Linked DNA regions of Astyanax mexicanus. The protein of the gene in region 1 purifies or fractionates together with the protein of each later gene. This does not show direct contact. Links are inferred from orthologs where the notes say so. Each region holds a gene or a part of one and is shown on either strand. Other genes may lie near its edges.

Region 1 (7,392 bases):
TATCTCTCACAAAACAAATAGGAGTGTTATAGAGTATGGTAAGAAAATCTGGCAAATGGCAACAGCACCTTTACTACAATACTACCATCTGTCACACAGAGAGCTGGCACCAAAACCATTAGACAATACAGGAAGCACCTGCTGTGAAGGCTTAATGGCCATGCTGATGTTTATAAAGCACCGTTACAGTTATCTTAATTTACTGGACCACAGAGATGAGAACAGCTGGGGTGAGGAATAGCAATGGTAATATAATGCCTCATTTAAAGTAAAGTATTATGACAATGATAACATAAACCCTTAAGGGTAGTTTGTCATAACTTGCAAGTAAGGTAGGTTTTGTTGCTGAACATGCCCAATAACTACTTACCTTGACAGAAAAGGCCCATTTAACTAACGAGTATTTCTTACAGCCACTGATGTGTTTTTGTTTTGGAAGAAAGTAGTTACCTGTAGCTTGGTGAACACATTTTCTGACAGACTGCTTAAAGGTTTTGAATAGAAGTGCATAGATACAGAAATATGTGTGTTGGATGGTTCTGGTAAAATTTAATTTTAAATAAAATTTAATCATTCGGATAAATCATTTGAGACGGATTAATATAATTAAAGTGTAAAAATATGCAACTGCCATGTAATGTACTGAAGTGTTGTCCTCTGTTGTGTGCAGGGTAGTGATGCCCCTCGTGCACAGCTGCATGATGGCCCTGCCGTCTGTCCAGGTGGTCTGGGCCAGCCTGATGGACATGTTCACTGGGCCTTTCTTCCACAGCTTCGGCAAGAGCCTGTCTTCCATCAACATAAAGACTGTGCAAAACTAAAACAGATTTAAGGAATACTCCAGTGATTTGGCATAATCTTTCTGTAGGCCACCTGTAGCATAGAGTTGAATAACACAGACAAAAACTTTTTTGTAGCACAAATAGCACTTTGTCAGCTTTGAGACAGTGTGTTGAAACTGACCATAGTCTACTGATACAGCAGTTAAAACACTGGAGTATTCCTTTAAGTCCTATTACTTTCAGACCAATTCCTTTAACAACAGATGTTCTCTATGACATGCTTTCTTCTACTTGAGTGCCTGAGCTTAGACATTACGCTCAGACCTTATCAGCTGCACCTGATGCACCCTAAAATCAGCTGTTTGTTTTGATCTAGGTTAAACCATATGTATTGGCTTTCTAGTAAGATGATGGCATGTCATGTATTAAAAACAATAGCAAGGTTAAAGAAAAGGAAGAAAATATTTTTATTTCCATATTTGTTCACCAGACAAAACCTGACTCCTGTTTCACAATATCAGTAGTGAAAAACAGTTGCTTATTTAAAACGTATGTGTGATTAAGCTTTTATACTGTATATGAGAAATTACATATGAATGTACTGACTGAGACCTTATTGTCTGTTTATTCCCTAGTGTACATTAGTATATAAATGCTGAGGTGCAGCTTATTGCATTCTTTTGCATGCTTATTATTTAGCTAGTGAAGAAATGATGCTACTGCATAACAAGAAGCAAAACAGGGAACAGAGAATAAAATAAAACTGGTGCCAGCTACATCCTGCTGGATAGTAGCTCTTTTGTGTTTTCTGTCTAAATTAATATTTATTAACAATAAAAGAACATAGGGTGTATTACTTTTATATTTTAGAGATATCCTTTGTTAAGTTTATTTTTACACAACATTGCCTTATGTGCATACATACTGTCTGAGCCTTTAGGCGTAGGCCTCAATGACAGATTGCTCTGCACACAAAGTTAACATTCCATAAAACATCAAGGACCATGATGGATTTTAGAGAGTAATTTATTCCTGCACAGTTTTTCAGACCGCTTGCCTTGCAAAGCTGCATTTGAAGTGCTGCCTGCTCTTTTTTAGTAGCTGCTCAGAGAAAATGGAAGGCTTGTTTGTGCAATGGAACATGAGGTGTTCAGGTGTTCTTTTTTCTTCCTCCTCCCTATTGAGTGATGTAATGTAGCAAAAATCCTGAGTGCAACAGAGCTCAATAAGAGAGAATCTTAGAGATCAGGGCCAAAAAGCCTCTCAGTTACTTTGCCAAATAAAGAAATATTTAAAGTGATACTCTTGTTTGTCTTTTTTTCATCTCATATCTGTGCAAAAATATTTCACCCTACCTCTTAGTTATCAGTTGTAAAACGGCACATGTAGAAATCTCTTGCCGTTTGCCTGAGGGGAGATAGCATATTACACAAAGTGGAATGTTCCATGTAGACGCCATAGAACCTGCCCAGAGTTCACTACGTACTGATATACACTGAGTTTTATGCGACAAAGAGCTGTATTCACATTTATTCCAGAGAGTCCATGCATTAAGATTGATTAATCCCTGATTAGTCAGCAGGTATGTAATTTTTGTTCACTTTACCACATAATGTTTTACATCTCTTGTCAACACATACCTTTCACTCACTGGAATATGTGAAAGCTAAAAACAGACTGCATTCATTATTTACCTTTTCTTCCAAAAGCAGTTTAGCCCCACCCATTCATAAAGAAATTTTAGGTATTTCATCCTGAGCTGACCTTTAACAGAAGCAGATTGTCAATCAAAGGGAATTTATTAGATTTAAAGGTACACAGGAAATTTGGCAGTGTTAAATCAACACTGTTAGTGTTAAATTAACACTTATTAGTGTTAAACTTTACACTCTCAGTGTTAATTTAACACTAACAGTGTTGATTTAACATTGCCAAATTTCCTGTGTACTATGCAGCCTGTTTTATCATAAGGAATAAAATGAACTTGGAAAACAGTCATGTAAAAATGAATTATGACCATTTCTGGTCTAAAACTTTAAAAAAAATATTGTAAGATTTTGGCCATTTAAATGGTTTAATTTTTACCATTGGCTGGGTAGCATTAATATCAGCACTATATGCTAAGCATATTACAAATACACTGTGTACAAATAAAGTTTCTCTCAACCAGCAATGCAGAATCAACAGTGCTAGTGAAAACAGCAATGTTCATTTGAGCTCTCATAATTACACTGTATAAACTGATAAAGGAAAATTTTACTATCTTTCTCTCCTTGATACCACACACACACACACACACACACAGTACTCTGAACAAAAGCCCTGTCTTTTTGCATGCCTTTGCATACTGGCCATAGAGAACAAATCATGTCAGTCTTCCATTGGGGTGTGTCTCCAAGACAAGACATGTAGAACTGAAGGAATGAAGGCCATGGTTTAAACTAGAATAAAAATGTTTTTCTTGTATATGAACAATTTGTGTACAAATTCTTTGAGTTACGGTTCTATAATCAATAGAATCATTGCCGTTAAGAAACATCATTTGAAGAACTGCCCAGTGCTTACATTTTATAGAGTTAGCAGTTTATTGCATAGTTAATCAAACATCAGTAATTAAACAATTTAGGGAGGGTACTTTCCAAATAAAATGTTGTCCACCAATACAGCAACCTGTACATTTGAGGGGGCAATAACATTAAATAATCTTTTCATAACTTAACCTTTTAAAATAGAAGAAAATTATCTGTAAGGTGGATTAATAAAGGTAATGAAGCACATCTTTTGAGGACACTGACACTCTTAATACCAAAATAAGTATAGTTCGGTACCTTTTTTTACATTTTTTTTTACATTACCTTTTTTAAATATATCAAGGTATCCAAACAAAATAGTACCAAAACTTTGTAAATATGAATGAATGTTTTTACTTCTTACCTTAAAACTAGCATGTCTGTTTTAGTTACAAATCTTAAAAATGCTGCATATAAAACCACTGTTGAGACTTATGCAGCATTAGCACTGAATACATTTAGTAGCGCAACCCCTCCATTCACTTGGGTTATTTACCCTGAGTTAAACCCTGAGCTTCACATTTACTTTACAGACTTAAGGTGAGGTTTTACATGTGTGCAGCTTCTTTAGCATCTACAGGGAGCAATTATGGCCCTGATTGGGGAAAATCACGTCAGTATATCCACCACTACCCCTGCTTGAGTGGCAGGCTAATGGTGGGTTAGGGTTTCACTCATCACAGAGCACACTTGTCCGCGCAGGTGACGGAGGCACAGTTGTGAGGCTGTGAGCAGCTCGGTGGATTCGAGCCAGAGGGATTTAGCAGCTCTGGACTGGAGTAAAAGAGAGGGGTTAATACATACAGGCGCTTGGTTAAAGAGGCAGAGACTGGGATTCAGTTAATGCTAGTGTTACTGCTCCTGTCAGTGTGTGTGTGTGTGTGTGTGTGTGTGTGTGTGTGTGTGTGTGTGAGGACTCAGTCGCAGCGCCTCCCACAGTGCGCTTCCTTTGGAAAGTCATTGTGCTTCAGTGTTCAGATCTGACTGCTTCAGACAGCATGACTGGAGGACTGAAGGACGGAGAAAGCGAGGTGAGTGCGTGAGGCTGCCGTGATCCTTTCTCAGCGCAGCCATTCCATCTGCTAATAATAATAATAATAATAATAATAATAATAATAATAATTGTTAATGCTTTAATTTTTTGTGTGATTTTAACTAGTTTAAATGAGAAGTTGTTTTTTTTTTTTCACTTTTTTCGTGCAGTTCAGAGTCTAATTCCAAATGACTCCACTTTTCGCAGGGTGAAATACAGTCTATCTCTTCTCTTATCGTTACGCCCCCACCTCCCTAAATTATGCCCCCCAATGCTCTCCTACCTTTTTTCCCTCCTCTGTCCACTATTGGCACCACCTCGCGCACTATGTTCCAGTTTCTCGTGCGTTATCTAGCTATTTTGGCTCGTTCTTTTCTTCAACAGGTTTCTCTCTCTCTCTCTCTCTGAATGAAGTATTTTGAGGTCAGACTCCACACTGTACAGATTACTCCACACTGTACTAGATACTCCACACTGTACTAGGTACTCCACACTGCAGTGGGTACTCCACACTGCACAACTACCCCACACTGTAGCTACTCCACACTGTACTAGGTACCTCACACTGTATTGGGTCCTCCACACAGTACTGGGTACTCCACACACTGTACAGACTTCTCCACACAGGACTGGGTACTCCATACACTGTACAGACTTCTCCACACTGTACAGACTTCTCCACACTGTAAAGGGTTCTCCACACACTGTACAGTCTACTTCACACTGCACAGATTTCTCCACATTGTACTGGGTACTCCACACACTGTAAAGGGCTCTCCAATCAGCAAAGGGTACTCCACACACTGTACAGTCTACTTCACACTGTACAGACTTCTCCACACTGTAAAGGGTACTCCACACACTGTACAGTCTACTTCACACTGCACAGATTTCTCCACACTGTACTGGGTACTCCACACAGTAAAGGGCTCTCCAATCAGTAAAGGGTACTCCACACACTGTACAGTCTACTTCACACTGTACAGACTTCTCCACACTGTAAAGGGTACTCCACACACTGTACAGTCTACTTCACACTGCACAGATTTCTCCACACTGTACTGGGTACTCCACACAGTAAAGGGCTCTCCAATCAGTAAAGGGTACTCCACACACTGTACAGTCTACTTCACACTGTACAGACTTCTCCACACTGTAAAGGGTACTCCACACACTGTACAGTCTACTTCACACTGCACAGATTTCTCCACACTGTACTGGGTACTCCACACAGTAAAGGGCTCTCCAATCAGTAAAGGGTACTCCACACACTGTACAGTCTACTTCACACTGTACAGACTTCTCCACACTGTAAAGGGTACTCCACACACTGTACAGTCTACTTCACACTGCACAGATTTCTCCACACTGTACTGGGTACTCCACACAGTAAAGGGCTCTCCAATCAGCAAAGGGTACTACACACACTGCATAGACTACTGTACGTGTTTACTCCACGCGGTATCAGCATGCAAATCTAGTAGAAGCTTCTCGTTGGGGACCCCTTGTGGCGGAACTCGGACCTCTGCTTAGAGAGGGGTGTGGTGCTGCACTTCTATCCATTTAAAACCATCTCATACCAGGGGTAACGTGCTGAGTCGCTCCTTGCTCTCCTCTCTCACGTTTGGAAACTTTTCTCCATTTTGTTGTTGTTCTCTCAGGAGTACATTCACTCTCCGTTCATCAGAAAGCAAGGGAACATTTACAAACCCAACAACAAAAGCATGGATAACGACAGCATCAACGAGAAGACCATGCAGGACGTCCACACCAAGGAGATAGACCTGGTCAACCGGGATCCAAAGCACTTAAATGATCACGTAGTAAAGGTAAACTTATTTCCTGTTTTCCTATTAGAAAAAATAAACATATTAACAGGCGTGCTATAGCTGTCATTTTTATATTTCTTATTTTAAGACATTTCTATTTTTACAAGAAATTAGCATAAACTAATTTTAGGCATAAACTAGTAGAAAGCTGCCTATAGATAACATTTGGAAGTTTAGTCTACTTTTCTTCTGTTTATTAATTAGCACAACATTAACTGTAAAAAGGGGCTTTAAATTTGCATGATTCAAATGTCCTAACTGGTTTTAATTTTTTGTTCCAAATATTTAAATGTGTCATGTCAAAACAATTCTAATTCTAATAAAGAATAAACTTCAAGAAAGCTGTGGTTCTGTTGATTGTACAATGTTTTATTCATGTACAATCACCTCACACTTTCAAATCGTGTAAAGCATTTAATATTCAGAGCTCCCTCTTTAGTGGAATTGTGCAACTCCAGCTGGCTGTGCCACAAGGAGCTGTAGCTGTGCTGTGGAATAGTTTTAGACAAGCCTGCAAAAGCTGCATGCACGGCACAAGTTTGACCTGAAGTTTTCTTGTGAGCCATTGACTACCACAGCCCTATGTCCTGTCTCTTTATCAGAATCAGTGCATGCTTGCTAACGCAGGTAACCTCTGCTCTGCACCGACCGACCCCCTGTCTAGTGATGAGCTGTCAGAACCTCAGCTCCACAAAGGAACAGAGGAAATATTTCAAGCTTCCTGTTTTCGCAGAGTTTTTGCTCCCAACATTGTTGACAGAAATTTTCCAGGGCGTGGAGGCATGCTGAGAGTGTGTCCAGCTAAGTTATGCTGCATCAAATGTTAAAAATGCCCATTTAACCCTACTGTATTTGCTTTGATAAATGTACACATTCTGCAAGTGAATGTGTCCCATTGCTGTTGCTAGGGAGTGGCAGGATATTTCCAGGGATAACCTGTGACCAGAGGATAGGGAGAAAAGTATCTGTTAAAGCACTGATGCCCCCTTTTTCCTTCTTTCTCTTCCTCGCCCTTTTTATGCCAGCGTGATTCTGACTCACTCTCCCAAACATGACCTCCTTAGAACAGAGAGGTTCTTATGATTTGTCCACTGATTGAATTCACAAGCGCATTGGACACGCAAGCATTTTTTCCGTTCTGGATTGGTCTGGAAACAGAGTGAATGGAGGCCGAGAGA
Region 2 (7,442 bases), on another chromosome or scaffold:
GACCACTTTCTAAATCAGTTTCTCTGATTTTGCTATTTATAGGTTTATGTTTGAGTAAAATGAACATAGTTGTTTTATTCTGTAAAATACAGACAACATTTCTCCCAAATTCCAAATAAAAATATTGTAACTTGGAGCATGTATCTGCAGAAAATGAGAAATGGCTGAAATTACCTCAAATAATGCAAAGAAAACAAGTTAATATTCTTAAAATTTTAGAAATCAATATTTAGTGGAATAACCCTGTTTTTAATCACAGTTTTCATGCATCTTGGCATGTTCTCCTCCACCAGTCTTGCACACTGCTTTTAGATAACTTCATGCCTTTACTCCTGGTGCAAAAATTCAAGTAGTTCAGTTTAGTTTGTTATCATCCATCTTCCTCTTGATTATATTCCAGAGGTTTTCAATTTGGTAAAATCAAAGAAACCCATTATTTTTAAGTGGTCTCTTATTTTTTTGTATGGGCTCGGGACCGGCTTATAATATCAAGCAGGTGTAGCTTGATATTAGATTACAAAACTCTGGTAGAAATTGGCCACTATTTCAGTGTTATGCATTCTTCAGATGACAACATTCAGTAAATTCAGCAGAGAGATGGTGTGTTTTCAACTCTCTTTTTATTTTCTCACTCCACATATTTTGGCATTTGTTTCTCTATGGCTGACTTTGGCCTTGCGGGTTGTGCAGATTGTGAGCTTGTTGCCGTTTGCATTCTCTCTGAAGAACTTTCAAACCTACAACATGTTTTGTGCGCTTTTGTGTGGCAGTTTTGTGTGAAGTGAACCACTTTGTGGCATGCATGAGAGAAAATTTGACTAGCAAAGAATTGGTCTGTCATCAGTCATATATTTATCCAAAAGATATTATATTTAAACAGTACATTCTTATTTTATATCCACTGAAGACATTTCTTCATTTCTTCATGTTTTGACTGAGCTTTCTCTGAATATTATGTAAACTTGCAATGATCAGAATAATCTGATCTGAAAGGGGATCACACCACAATGCATGTGTTAAAAGTACTCTTCCACATGCTCAGTGCGGAGACACTTTTTCACCACTTTTTTTTCACATTTTCCTTGTTTGGTCTAGATTTTCTGAAAAAGTGCCATAAATTACAGTTCAACTTAAAGGATCAAAATTTGATCGCCATATTGACAGCACACCGATTTCAGACAAACTCTACAAACCAATGAGTGTCAAGTATACGCAGACTTGTGTTGCATGGTATACTAGTATACCGATACTAGAAAGGTACTAGAAATACTTTGTCATCAAAATCGGTACAATACACTATTTATTTAGTATTGGTACTATAATTCTTAATCCATCAGAATAAACCATATACCGTATATGGCTAGAAAGATCTAGAAAGAAATCCTGCCATTTGTAAAAGCTGCAGCGTCATCGCTCTTCGGTGAGGACCTGTGATTAATCCACTGTAGAAAAGACTCAATAATAAGCAAAACATTTTGTGACCCGATAACTGCTTTATTTCTCAGTTTTCAGCACAAACATACGTTCTGAAATATAATCCAGTGTCTAAGGAGAACTCTGTGTCGTCTCTGAGTTTCCCTGAGGCTGTGTATACATGAGATCAGAGCCTTATATCAACGCATGGGCTTCTAAACAATATTTTAAATCATTGACTAAAATATGCATCTCAATCTCAATTTGTGAACCGATTCAGTCAGCTCTAGGCTCAACCCACAGTTTAAGTTCTTCACAGCATCCAAACACCACAAAGATCACATGATAATTCACAAAATATCAGCAGCTTCTACAGTTTATATGCCTCCCAGCTTGCCCAGCCATTTTTTGGTGTTCTTGACATTTTTCTGGCTTTAATAGCTTTTTCTGGTTACCTGACTTACTGTGCTGCTAATGGTTCTGATACAAGAGCTACTGCAAACATGAAGATTTCAAAACAACAAAGCCCTATATGCATGGGATTAGTTTCTCAGGGGGTCCTAGGGTAAGTTTCTCTTTTATGGGGGTCCTCTGATTTTTTTTTTTTTAATTTATTTTCAGACATCCTCTGAGAAAATTACAGGCTGAATTATCTACTGTTATTCACTGTATTCCGTAGTCCTCTGGTAATTTTAGTCCCGTCCGAATTCCCATCTCTAAGTTTCCTCACCTCGCATTTATTTAAATAGCTATTTGTCCACTGCCATGCACCTTAATTACACTTTGAGCGCACGTTTACATGGAGATCCACATAAACACAACAGCAGAAGAGTGGAAATGGAGGAGCTACTGAACGCCATGTCGTGACCGAGAAAGCCTAATAACTCACTGGTCCTCCTATTATTTTTTCATTGCAGTCCGGATGCAAGAGTTTTGGCACATAGTTTCTCCAGTATCCATGCATCATTAAACCAAATAAGTGAACACAGCTGGTGAGATAAAAGGGACTGCACCACAATGCATGTTTTAAATGTATGCTTTCGTAAGCTGTGTGCAATAAATTATGCAATTAAGCAGGGGGGCTTTAAGTAATGGAGCATCACTTCCATTAATCTCTGTCCTCTTATTGTGTATAAAACATTGAGATATGGACAGTAAACAACAAACAAAACAAACAAACCAACAAATTCTATGTAGGCTAGGTATGGACCACCTATATATAGGAGGTCCTTTTTTATCATATGATGCAGCTGGTCCTGATGCAAGCCCATCCATATCACAACACCCCCCCGTCCCCCAAATGTCTGTGCATGGCCTCCAGCTCGCCCACACACACACTCACCCTTCTCGCAGGCCAGCAGAAAGAGCTTCTCGTCGAGCGTGGTGTCCTCCTTCACCTCCCTCACGTCCTTCAGCGCCAGATAGGTGTCCGGAGCGGAGGCGCCAGGGGCCTGGTATCCGGCAGCCATGACCACGGAGAGGGAGCAGGGCAGGACGCTGATGTGCATCCCAGCTGGAGCGCGCTGAGACGGGGAGAGAGAGAGGCAGGCAGCCCGTCCGAGCGGCCGGCCCTCCGCGGGGCTCGGCTACGTGTTGGGAAGGCGCAGGAGCAGCAGGTGCGGCCCGGGAACCAAGCGCATCTCCCCCCGGGAACACCGCGGTCCGCACGGGGCTAAAACAGCCCAGCAGCCCAACGCAGCCCGGGTCAGACAGACGAGGACCAGGATCAGGAGGAGAGGATGAAGAGGAGGAGGAGGAGGATGCTAGTGATGGGGACGATGGTGGTTCTGCGCATGCGCAGCTGCTGTTTGTGGGGACAGAAGGGTCGTTACATAAGAACAGCTTGAGGATCAGTAGAACATTGTACAGATGTAAATACATAGAATATTGTAGAATGAATGTATTTAATTTATATTCTATTCATACAGTGTATATATCATGTATTTATATAATATTTTTGTTTATATATTATAGATTTATAAATGTAAATCGCATGTATTTATAGCCTATACACTATAGATTTCTAGTTTTTAAATTTATAGACTATAGATTTATTTATTATAGATTATAGAAAATAGATTTGTGGATTATATATTTATAGAAAATAGATTTATAGACGTTAGATTTATAGACTATATATTTGTAGATTATAGATTTATAGGAATTAGATTTATAGACTATAGATTTATAGGAATTAGATTTATAGACTATATATTTGTAGATTATAGATTTATAGACTACATACGTGTAGATTATACATTTATGGATTATAGATTTATAGACTATAGATTTATAAATTATAGATTTAAAGGTTATAAATGTATTTATCATATATTTATAAACTATAGCTTTATGGATTATAGATTTATAGATTATAAATGTATAACTCATATTTATAGATTATAGATTTATGGATTATAAATGTATAACTCATATATTTATAGATTATAGATTTATGGATTATAAATGTGTATATCGTGTTTTTTTAGAAGATATATTAATATACTATAGATTTATAGATTATAGTTGTATTTATTATAATTTAAAGATTATAAATATGAAAACAATGATTTGTCCTGTTTGTATATATTTCAAATAAATTAATAACTCACATCTCTATTGTCTTCAAACTTTTTAAAATAATTAAAATAAGAAAATAAAGCATAATTATGTGTTGTTTATATAGTTATACTGAATGTATATATACTTTATAGCAAATCAAAATCATAATTAAAATATTTAAAATATTGCTTTTGTGTCAGTGGGCTCTGCATTCCTCCACAATGAATTTGAAATGACTTTCAGGTTTAATTCGAGGGGCTTAACAAAAATCCTATAAGGAGTTACAACCATTTCTCTACAAACCTCATTTAAGGGGCTCAAAAGTAATTGGACAAATTAACTTTATTGTAAATAAAATGTTAATTTTTAATACTTTGTTAAAAAAATCCTTTGTAGGCAATGACTGCCTAAAGTTTTGAAACCCATGGACATCTCCAAATTTTTCCTCATTTATGATGCTTTGCCAGCCTTGTACTCCAGCTGTCTTCAGTTGTTGCTGGTCTGTGGTTCTTTCTGCCTTTAGTTTTGTCTATAGTAAGTGAAATGCTGCTTGATCTGCTTCAGATCTGGTGATTGACTCTGCCATTTCAGATTATACCATTTCTGTGCCTTAAGAACTCCTGGTTTGCTTAAGCAGTATGTTTTTGGTCATTATCCATCTGTACTGTGAAGTGCTGTCCAGTCATACTTGTTGCATTTTGTTTTTTCGCAACTAGAGGACTAAAAGGGGCAAAATATATCAATTTAAATAGGGCAAACTCACTATTTTGGACATACAGTCGTGTAACTGAATAAAACAATTTGTTTCATCTTCTATAAGCTTGGGTTTGCCCTCTACTGCTGTGTACGAGTTACTGCAGTGTTCTCAGGCCTCAGCTTGACAGCAAATGTAAATTTCATTGTTTCTCATTTCCTCTGCTCTACTTCCCCTCAGCTCATTAGCTTTCATAATTATCACCCTCTTCTTGCACTGAGGTGTGGCTGGATTCAACAGACTGAGAGGATTGTTTTGAAGCTTTTTAAATTGACATTTAATATATTGTTCATCCCATGCTCTTTTGTAATGAGACAATGTTATGTACTTTATTTATAACTTATAACAAGGCACACACTGCGTAATGTGGTGTCTGTATATTCTAAAAGGGGTGTGGCTTAAACTACTGATAAATGGAACGTATGCAATTTGAAGAACTGAAATGCGTTTATAAATTCTGTATCATATTCCAGAACAATTTAATTTGTCTTGTACAATCAGATACCGTTAAACCCACTATAATGGAAATCTATAGGACACCACATTTTATTTAATCCACTGGTAGGCATTTTTTTATTTCAGCATGATCTCCATTTAGTGAAAAGGGCATCCTTTGGGGCACCATCTAATAGGGGTGGCATAGAAGACCCTTCATATTGGTACATTTTTCTATTAGAAGGGCAGAAGGGCACCTGTATATACACACTTATTAAGACATATAATTAACGTTTCTTGAACTAGTGGACACATTATTTTAATGTACTCATGAAGGGGCACCCAAACAGGCACTGAATCACTTTTCTCACAAGAAGGGCACACAATAGGCCACTTTGTCCCTTTTTTGGTCATCTAAAAGACATGAAAAGCGATCCTTGTTTTTTTTTTAACCATGGGTGTACCAAGAAGGGGTGGTTGCCACCCCTGCACCCCCTTGAGTCCACCAGTGGTGTATTAATGTTTGGCCGTTCTTTCTGTAAAATCTTGTATCAGAAAGCTCATATCTTCTGTATTTAGTGCTGCTGTACCTGTCAGTACTGCAAATTAGAGGGTTAATTCTGATCTTAACTATAGACAATACCCATCCTCTGATTACCACTGCCAACCATTTGCACTTACTCCTCAAGATATTGATGTAAACTGACTTTTGTTAAACACCAGCCATAGGCTAAAGTTGTTGTGTTGACAGTGGCTCACAAGCTTGACATGGCTTTAGAGCATCAGATCTGCAGTCATCAGAATTAAATGTCAAAAAGTCTTCAAAGTGTCAAAGTAGCCACCCATCAGAGTGCTATTTTAGTATTGCAGATACTAATGTGTAATGGACAATTTAATTCAGGCCTTAGTTTGAAATAGTATATATACACTACCAGACAAATGTTTGGTAATATCTTATATTCTGTGCTTTTCATCATTTTAACATTTTAGATTATTTAAAGTAGCACCTCTTGTTTAGATGACAGCTTTGCACAGCCTGGCATTTCCTCAGTCAGCTAGAGAAAATGAGGTAGTCACCTGGAACAGCTTTCAGTCAATCCGAAAAATTTCAAGAAATTTCAGAGTATTCTTAAACGCAGTGACAACGACCATCAAAAATGTTATGATGAAACTGGCACTCATCAGGAACACCCCAGGAAAGAAAGAACAAGAGTTTCCTCTGTTGCACAGCATAAGTTGATCAGAGTTACCAGTCTCAGAAACAGCAAGTTAAAAGCTCCCCAGATAAGAGCACCTAAATGCTTCACAGACTATTTTGTTTTGTTTAATGCTTTTACATTACTACATGATTCATTATGCACTCCTTCATGATGAATACAGTATTAATTTATGAATAATGTAGGAAAAATGAATAAAAACATTGAAAGAAAAGGTGTGTCCACACGTTTGACTGAGACTGTATTTCATTATCAGTGTGAACCCTGGTAAAATGAGACATAAGACACAACTGGACCAGTTTCATCTAATTTTTTGCTTTGCTCTGGTTCTTTTGGGGGCCAATAAAACGCTGCATTGACAAAAGTATTAGGTGATGGTTCAGTGATAAGTTATTTTGGAAAAATTAATGGAACGCTTGCATATTCATTGTCTTATTCAAATTTAATGGTACTAAATAGAATGTAGTGTGTCTCTATTGTCCAGAAAATACTATTCTTTTACACAATTTATTCCAAAAGTATTGAATGTACACGCCTTTGTTCCAGAGAACACAGTTCCACTGTTCCACTTTATACCCCTCTAGCCCACATCTGGCATTAGGCATTGATACCAAAAGATTCATGTTTATGTATATAACGGGGCTTCATCCAATTCTTCTTTCTGGTTACTCTGAACTAACCATCCAACATCCGTATCTGACCTCACTGATGCAGTAAGTGTTTTGAGCAGTAGATGGCAGTGCTTAACAACCTGCCATGGTTCATCTACAGCTCTAGGTCATTCTGAGTGGCATGTATGTACTGTTCATGTACTGTTACTAATACAGATTATATTATAAAAGAGCTAGTATCTATAGTACACTTTTATAAAAATCTAGAATACTTTCCTCGAAATAATATTCCTGCTATAGTCTACAGTAATTGCTTAATATAGAAATAAATTGTAAATACATTATTGCAAGTATACTAGTATGCTAGTGTTGTTATATGTAATATATGCATTTTATTTTGTATGCTATTATATTATAAGTAATTATTATAATGTAAATATATAACTATGT
Region 3 (7,351 bases), on another chromosome or scaffold:
CTTTGCTCTTTGTGCTCCTCTTGAAGATGTCTTGCACCCTCTGAGGACCAGCATTTTGCACTGGTGTGCTGAAAAAGCTCTCCCCTGCACAGCATCGCCCCATCAGCTGAATTCCTTCTGCTTTTCTCCGTTTTCTTCTCGGCCCAGATCTTCCATCAAAAACTTTGAGTTCCAGGTCAGATAAGACACCTCAGTCCTCAGGAAATCAACAGTGAAATCCATCCAAGCATCTGCCTTAAAGTCTTGGTGTGAAGTGCCTTGGTCTGAGTGTTTTTTTTTTCATCATATAAATAAATAAATAAATAATGTATAATATGCAATAGAATTTTGAGTATTTAAGGGTTATAAAACTACAGATCTCACATTATCCAAACCATCATCATTATCATAATCAAAGTGTGCTTCAGGAAACCTTTGTGTGCAACCCGTTCCTCGATTTGAACGTTTTGATACGATATGATGATGGAAATATGTACACATTTTTTTATTGTTGATGCTTTTTAAACAAGGAGAATTTAAGCAGCAGTAAACAAGAGACTGATGAAGATCTGGGTGTTTTTACGAAAATGAAATGACCCTTGTTGGCTTTTGTTTTTGTTGAACAGTTGAATATGTAGGACATATAAGTTGTAGGACATGTTACAGCTATGTTACAGGAGTGCACACACTGGTGGAGGTGAAGGTGGAGGTGGTGCCAGCTCAGTTAAGGCCTTTCAAGTCAAATCCAGATTTTCTTCATCAACCACATCCTCACATTTTGACTTATAACAGGCTATTGAATTCTATATTAAAGTCCTATTTTAATATATGATTATTGATAAAACCATTATAAGACTGCAGCAACCTGTTGATAAAACAGTCGATTGTGCAAAAGGACTTGTCTTGAACTTGGTTTCTTTTTAGACAGACCTAGAGACAAAATAAAAAAGTAGTCTGATGTTTGCACCTGCATTTGTGGTGCACCGGTCAATGACCTGCGACACCTACAGGTCCGTTTCCCTTGCGTCCAAGCAGAATGCGTACAGTGAACGCTTAATGTCCACACTGCTGCTGCTGCTGCTGTTCACTTTCACACTAGGTTTCTCTGCAGGCGAGTTATCCAGCCCTGCCTCGTTGTCCCCCTCTCCTGCCAACCCCACGGTCGACGGACTCTCGCGGCCGCCATCGTCCCTGAGCGAGGCCTGGTCCTGGTCCGTCTCCCTGTGGTAGAAGTAGTTAAAGTTGGACACGATAACAGGCACTGGGAGCGCAATCGTCAATACGCCAGCAATGGCGCACAGGGATCCTACGATTTTGCCCCCAACAGTGACCGGCCTCATGTCCCCATAACCTACAGTGGTCATGGTCACCACAGCCCACCAGAAGGCGTCGGGAATGCTGGAGAAGTGCGATTCAGGCTCATCAGCTTCTGCAAAGAAGACGGCGCTGGAGAACAGTATGACCCCAATAAAGAGGAAGAAGATAAGCAGGCCCAGTTCCCGCATGCTGGCCTTGAGAGTCTGCCCCAAGATCTGCAAGCCTTTAGAGTGCCTGGACAGCTTGAAGATCCTGAACACCCTGACCAGTCGGATGACCCTGAGGATGGCCAGAGACATGGCCTGCTGTTGCTGCTGCTGCTGTTGTTGGACGTCGTCGTGCTCTGGGCCGTGCTGCTGCTCCACCAGCTCCGTGCCAACCGTGATGAAGTAGGGCATGACGGACATGACGTCAATGACGTTCATGACTGTCTTGGAGAACACAGACTTGCTTGGGCATGCCAGGAAGCGCACTAGCAGCTCAAAGGTGAACCAGATGACGCAAGTAGTCTCTACGATGAAGAAGGGGTCGGCGAAAGTTAGCGAAGGCCTGGAGCGAGTTCCATTGGTCTCTGCCGTCCTGCTGCTGCTGGTCGCAGCCAGCTCTCGCTCATCCCGGAACTCCGGCAGAGTCTCCAAGCAGAAGGTGACGATGGAGATGGTGATGACTAGAACGGAGACGATGGCGATGGCCCGAGCAGGGCTGGAACTCTCGGGGTACTCGAAGATAAGCCACACCTGGCGCTGGAACTCGTTCTCAGGTAGCGGTCGCTCTTCTTCTTTGATAAAGCCCTCGTCCTCGCGGAAGCGCTCCATGGCTTCATCTCCCAGCTCATAGAAGCGGATCTCATCAGCGAAGACATCAATGGACACGTTGACGGGCCTCCGGATCTTGCCTCCGGACTGGTAATAGTACAGGATGCCATCAAAGCTGGGCCGGTTCCGGTCGAAGAAGTACTCGTTCCTCAGGGGATCGAAGTACTTGATCCTTTTCTCGGGGTCGCCCAGCAACGTGTCCGGGAACTGCGAGAGCGTGCCCAGGCGCGTCTCGTAGCGCAGGCCCGCCACGTTGATGAGCACGCGCTCGGCGCTCGCCATGTCCAGCGCGGCGACGGCGGCGGCTTCATCCAGCGTGTCATCGTCAAAGAGGCGCGCGCTGGGCTCCGTGCGCCACGGGCTCGGGGGAGGGCTGCGAGGGGAGCCCGTGCGCGCGCCGCCGTTCTCTAAGCTCACCAGGGCTATCTCCATCTCCATGCCCGAGCCATCAAAAAAGAGCGTGCGGGAGAACAAGAGGGGCAGAGCTGCACGAGAGCCGGGGGGTCCCTCGGCACGCGGCACGCACGGACGCACGCACGAGCCTCCTGCTCCTGCTGCTGATGCCGCCGCTCTCCAGTGTCACCAGCGCGTGTATGTATGTGTGTGTGTATATGTATGCATGCGCGAGCGTGCGTGCGTGCGTACGCCCGCGCGCTCGTACGAGAGTGTGGAACGAGAGAGCAAGCAAGAGAGCGACTAAGCTGTGCAGCGCGCGCTCGCTCAGTAAAGTAAATAACCACGAGAGCACGAGAGATTGAAGAGTTTGAAGACCCGGATGAGAGAAAGAACGATGATTACTGACGTCAAAAAAAGAGAGAAAAAAAACACACACACACACAACAACAGGCGGCTGGCTCAGCGCGCGCACCAGAGAGAGGGAATCCTCTGTTTCAGAAAGAGAGAGAGAGAGTGAGTAAGAGAGTGAAAGAGAGAGGGGGTGGAGGGTGGTCCTCACAACTCCTCCCCCAAAGCCATTCATTTTCATTTTTTTGGCTCTGGAATAAACCTGTGCCCACCTTCTCACCACTGAGGATGGATCAGCACTGGTTGAACCCTGTCAGAACATTAGGACCAACCACTTTGTTTAATAGAAGCCCGCTCGTTCAGTGAGTGTTTGTGTGTGTGTGCGTGTGTGTGTTAGTGAGTTAGTCTGCACACTTTGTTCTCAGCTCTTTCATTGGGTCTGAATGTGCAGCATGTGCGCTAAGGCAGCATTCATTCACGGATGGGTGAACATGGGCATGCCTGGGGTTAAGTTGCATCATCAAATGCTGTATGTGTGTGTGTGTGTGTGTGTGTGTGTGTGTGTGAGACCCATGTGTTTTAGTCTCTCACTCTATCCATGTCTTTATCTTTGAATATACAGTATTTCCCAAAAGTAAACACACCCCTGAAACTTTTCCAAATATTTTTTGATATCTTTTCTTATCCCATTTTTCCCCAATTTACACGGCCAATTACCCAACCCACTCATTAGGACTCCACCATATCAGTAGTGATGCCCCAACACAAGGAGGGTGAGGACTAGCACAGGCCTCCTCCAATACATGTGAAGTCAGCCACCGACTCTTTTCGAGCTACTGCTGATGCAGAATTGCCGAGGACAGCGCAGCGATTCAGGTTCCTATACATCAGCTCATAGACGCCTTGTGCTGATTGACATCAACCTTTGGAGTGATGAGGGATAAGAGTGCCGTCTACCTACCTAGAGAGAGCAAATCCATTTGTGCTCTCTGAGGGCTCTGGCTGATGACAAGCTACATGAACAGGATTCGAACCAGAGGTCTCCCAACCAATGTGGCAGCACCTTAGTCCGCTGGATGACTCAGAGCCCTATATGATATCTTTTCATGAAACACTGAAGATATGATACTTTGATACATACACACAGCTATTAAAGAACCATTAATGATTATATCACCAGGGTGTATTAGCAGATATTAGGTAAACATGCTGAGGTAAAGCTCTGGCAGCTCTTGTGAGCAGAGCTTCAACAGAATTTCTTTTTTTTTTTTAACTGTGAGGCACATCAAGGAAAAGTGTGCGGGATGTGGTTTCCACCGTGTGGGAATCTGCCTACCACCATTCCCATTTCCACACTCAGGGCTTCCAGGTATAGATAATAGTTTTCTGCAGCCATGGAAATGGGCGAGCTGATTATTTTTCTTCTAAACATGTAATCACTGAGCTTCAGTAAGGTTGCTTACTATAGCTAGATAATTTATTACAATCACTAATGTACTAGAAATGGGTATTTTAGACACTGAAACATATACTCTATATTGACTGATCTGCTGCAGAGTCAGACATGTCATCGCTTGCCATTGTGTGCAAACTGGCGACCCATGTGAGCTTCACCTATGGGGATGAGTGGTTGAAGACTCTATCCAGTGTTGGACTAACACACTCGCTCTGATTTATTACAAATTGTTTCTTTTAATGTCTAAACTGCTGGAAGCAAAAGTTAGTAAAAATGGCCAAATTGTGTCCAATTAGATATTTTCCTATTGTAACATTAACTGTTACAAAATCTCAGGTGTGAATGGGGAGAAGGGATGTTTTATATTTGGGTTTTGGGTACAATTCTCTGATACTGGCCACTGTATATTTAACATGGAACATCATGGCAAGAAAACTCTCTGAGGATGAGAGAAACAGAATTGTTGCTCTCCACAAAGATTGCATAGGCTATAAAAAAGTTTGCTTGCACCCCCTAAAACTGAGATGCAGCACGATGACCAAGGCTATACAGCAGTTTTTCAGCACAGCTTCCAGTCAGAACATCAACAAGACCACTGTTTTGTATTTACAGGAGATCTAATTGTACTGTAATTGTACTGTACTCCATTCCCATAGGAATGAAGCATGGAAACGTAGCAACAGCACATATAACACAGTCTAAATGCACTAGAGAACAGAAGAACAGCACCTACATGACTCAGACCAAATGACCAGTGAGTCACATGCTGCATGACCCCCCCGGCTCTGTTCAGGCCATCTGAGGAAACTGCATTTCTGCGTTGTTAAGGAGATGCTCTATGCTTTATGTGCGCAACTGAAACTCATAAGACTGTAACAAGCAGTCGCCACTGGTTGAAAATTCACAACTATAAGGTATTATGGAAACATTTTCTTACTTTGTGTCATGTAAGTAAATATGTCCAACATGTCTTTGATTAGTCTCTTGTTGCACGCAGTACAAATTTGTATTATTTATAATATCAATATCAGATTTTGATAGATGTTTTGGAAGACATGCAAAGATACTGTCCTCTGGTATCCCCCCAAAAACTTTCAATTTAATCAATCACTTGTTTTTAAGTAGTGGTCTTCAAATCCTGCACTGAGCTGTGGATCAGTTGAACTGTGTTCTCTGGAACGATGGAGCTCTTAGGTTTTGCCGTAAGCTTGCCAACACCCTCTAGTAGTGCAACCAAATCTTTACAGCAGAATATATAGTTGCAAGAATTTTTTTTGCATAAATTAAATGTCATTAAATGTGCTCTGATCTTCATTTAAGTCACAACAATAGACAAGCACAGTTTGCTTAAACTAATACCTCACAAAAATTATGTTTGCATATAAATCCAAAGGTTCACATACTTTTCCCCCCTTTACTGTGAATGTTAACATGTTGTGTTCAATAAACCCATGCAAACATATATCATTTTTGTGTGGTATTAGTTTAAGCAGACTGTGTGTTTGACTTAGAAGAAGATCAGAACACATTTAATGACCAATTTATTCAGGAATCTAAGTAATCCCAAAGGTATCACATACTTTTCCCTACACCGAAAATATTAGATGGAGAACCATCATTCTAGAGAACACAGTTCCACTGCATCTCCTTTCAGATTTCTTTTTTCCACACTTACATTTTTTTAATTATCAAACTAATTTTAAACCTGAGTAAATACAAAAAACATTTTCTAAATTATGATTTTATAATTAAATGAAAAAAGCAACATAAACCAACCTGGCCCTTGGTGGAAAAAGTAACTGACCCCCCAATGGATTAACTGTAATTAACCACATTTTCACAAGCCACAACCTAGCCTGAACTGTAGAATCAACAATGCTTTATGTCTGACAACAATAAGGAGGATAAAAGATCTCAAAAAGCAACACATTATTCCCTGAGGTAATTGAAATCTATTACTCTGGAAAAGGATAAAAAGTAGTTTCTAAGGGTTAAGGTCTGGACACTGAGGTGGCCAATCCATGTGAAAAGATTATGTTTTATTCTCCCTGAATCACTCTTTCACAATTCCAGCCCAATGAATCCTGGCATCGTCATACTGGAATATGCCATCAGGGAAGAAAAAAATCCATTGATGGAATAACCTGGTCTATATTCAGTATATTCAGGTAGTCAGCTGACCTCATTCTTTCAGCACATACTGTTGCTGAACCTAAACCTGACCAACTGCAGCATTTGTTTTGGCCAGGCAGTGTAGTATTTCTATATTATCCATGCGAGAGTTCCAAGGCAAAAGCCACTGGTGACCAAAAAAGAACAAAAATAAAAGAAAATCTGCAAGGGGGCAAATGCTTCTTCAAAGCACTGTATATTCCTCTACACATTACACAAAAGCCACTGGTGACCAAAAAAGAACACAAAGTCTTGTCTCACATTTGCCAACAAACATCTTGATAATCCCCAGGATCATCAATATTCTGTTGACTGAAGAGAAAAGTGTAGAACTTTTTTGGAAGATGTGTTTTCTGTTACAGATGGGTGGCATACCATTAACACATAATTTCAGCACACTGAACATCATACTAAAACATGGTCAAACATGGTGGTGGTAGTGTGATGGCCTGGGGCTTCTTTGCTGCTTCAGCACCTGGACAATTAGTTGTAATTGATGGAACCATGAATTCTGCTCTCTACCAGAAAATCCTGAAGCCATCAGTTTGAAACCTTAAACTCAGGCAAACTTGGGTTCTGCAGCAGGACAATGATCCGAAGCACATCAAAATTAAGGTTTTGGAGTGGCCAACTTAAAATCTGATTGAGATGCTGTGGCACATCCAAGTTATTCGGTTTAGAGGTCAATTATATTGTAACCTAGGGCCAGTTTGGTTGCTTTGAATAGATTTTTTCCCCCTTAATAAATGAAATTATCATTTAAAAATATATTTAAAATCTTTTTATATTTACTTTTTTGTATATTTATGTTTGTCTCATATTTAAATTGGTTGGTTAAGCAGAAAATTTTAACTTCACAGCACTGTAT

Evidence for each region. The genes of interacting proteins can lie anywhere in the genome.
Region 2: the proteins of cav1 (region 1) and trpc1 purify together in Homo sapiens (affinity purification with western blotting; 3 studies listed by BioGRID and IntAct, with this or other methods). This does not show direct contact. The link is inferred for Astyanax mexicanus from reciprocal best matches to the Homo sapiens genes CAV1 and TRPC1.
Region 3: the proteins of cav1 (region 1) and potassium voltage-gated channel subfamily A member 5 purify together in Homo sapiens (affinity purification with western blotting, with the first as the bait; 3 studies listed by BioGRID). This does not show direct contact. The link is inferred for Astyanax mexicanus from reciprocal best matches to the Homo sapiens genes CAV1 and KCNA5.

What each region holds. Positions count from the first base shown.
Region 1 is NC_064417.1:17,838,171-17,845,562, forward strand, and holds the start of cav1 (caveolin-1), read left to right. Parts: upstream 1-4,277; 5' UTR 4,278-4,350; coding exon 4,351-4,383; intron 4,384-6,046; coding exon 6,047-6,214; intron 6,215-7,392. Other genes in the region: cav2 (caveolin-2), read left to right, coding at 671-821. UniProt on the Homo sapiens protein: May act as a scaffolding protein within caveolar membranes. Forms a stable heterooligomeric complex with CAV2 that targets to lipid rafts and drives caveolae formation. Mediates the recruitment of CAVIN proteins (CAVIN1/2/3/4) to the caveolae.
Region 2 is NC_064413.1:50,847,520-50,854,961, reverse strand, and holds the start of trpc1 (short transient receptor potential channel 1), read right to left. Parts: upstream 3,193-7,442; 5' UTR 2,922-3,192; coding exon 2,756-2,921; intron 1-2,755. UniProt on the Homo sapiens protein: Forms a receptor-activated non-selective calcium permeant cation channel. Forms a heteromeric ion channel with TRPC4 or TRPC5 that has reduced calcium permeability compared to the homomeric TRPC4 or TRPC5 channel.
Region 3 is NC_064409.1:16,659,930-16,667,280, reverse strand, and holds potassium voltage-gated channel subfamily A member 5, read right to left. Parts: upstream 2,992-7,351; 5' UTR 2,550-2,991; coding exon 984-2,549; 3' UTR 693-983; downstream 1-692. UniProt on the Homo sapiens protein: Voltage-gated potassium channel that mediates transmembrane potassium transport in excitable membranes. Forms tetrameric potassium-selective channels through which potassium ions pass in accordance with their electrochemical gradient.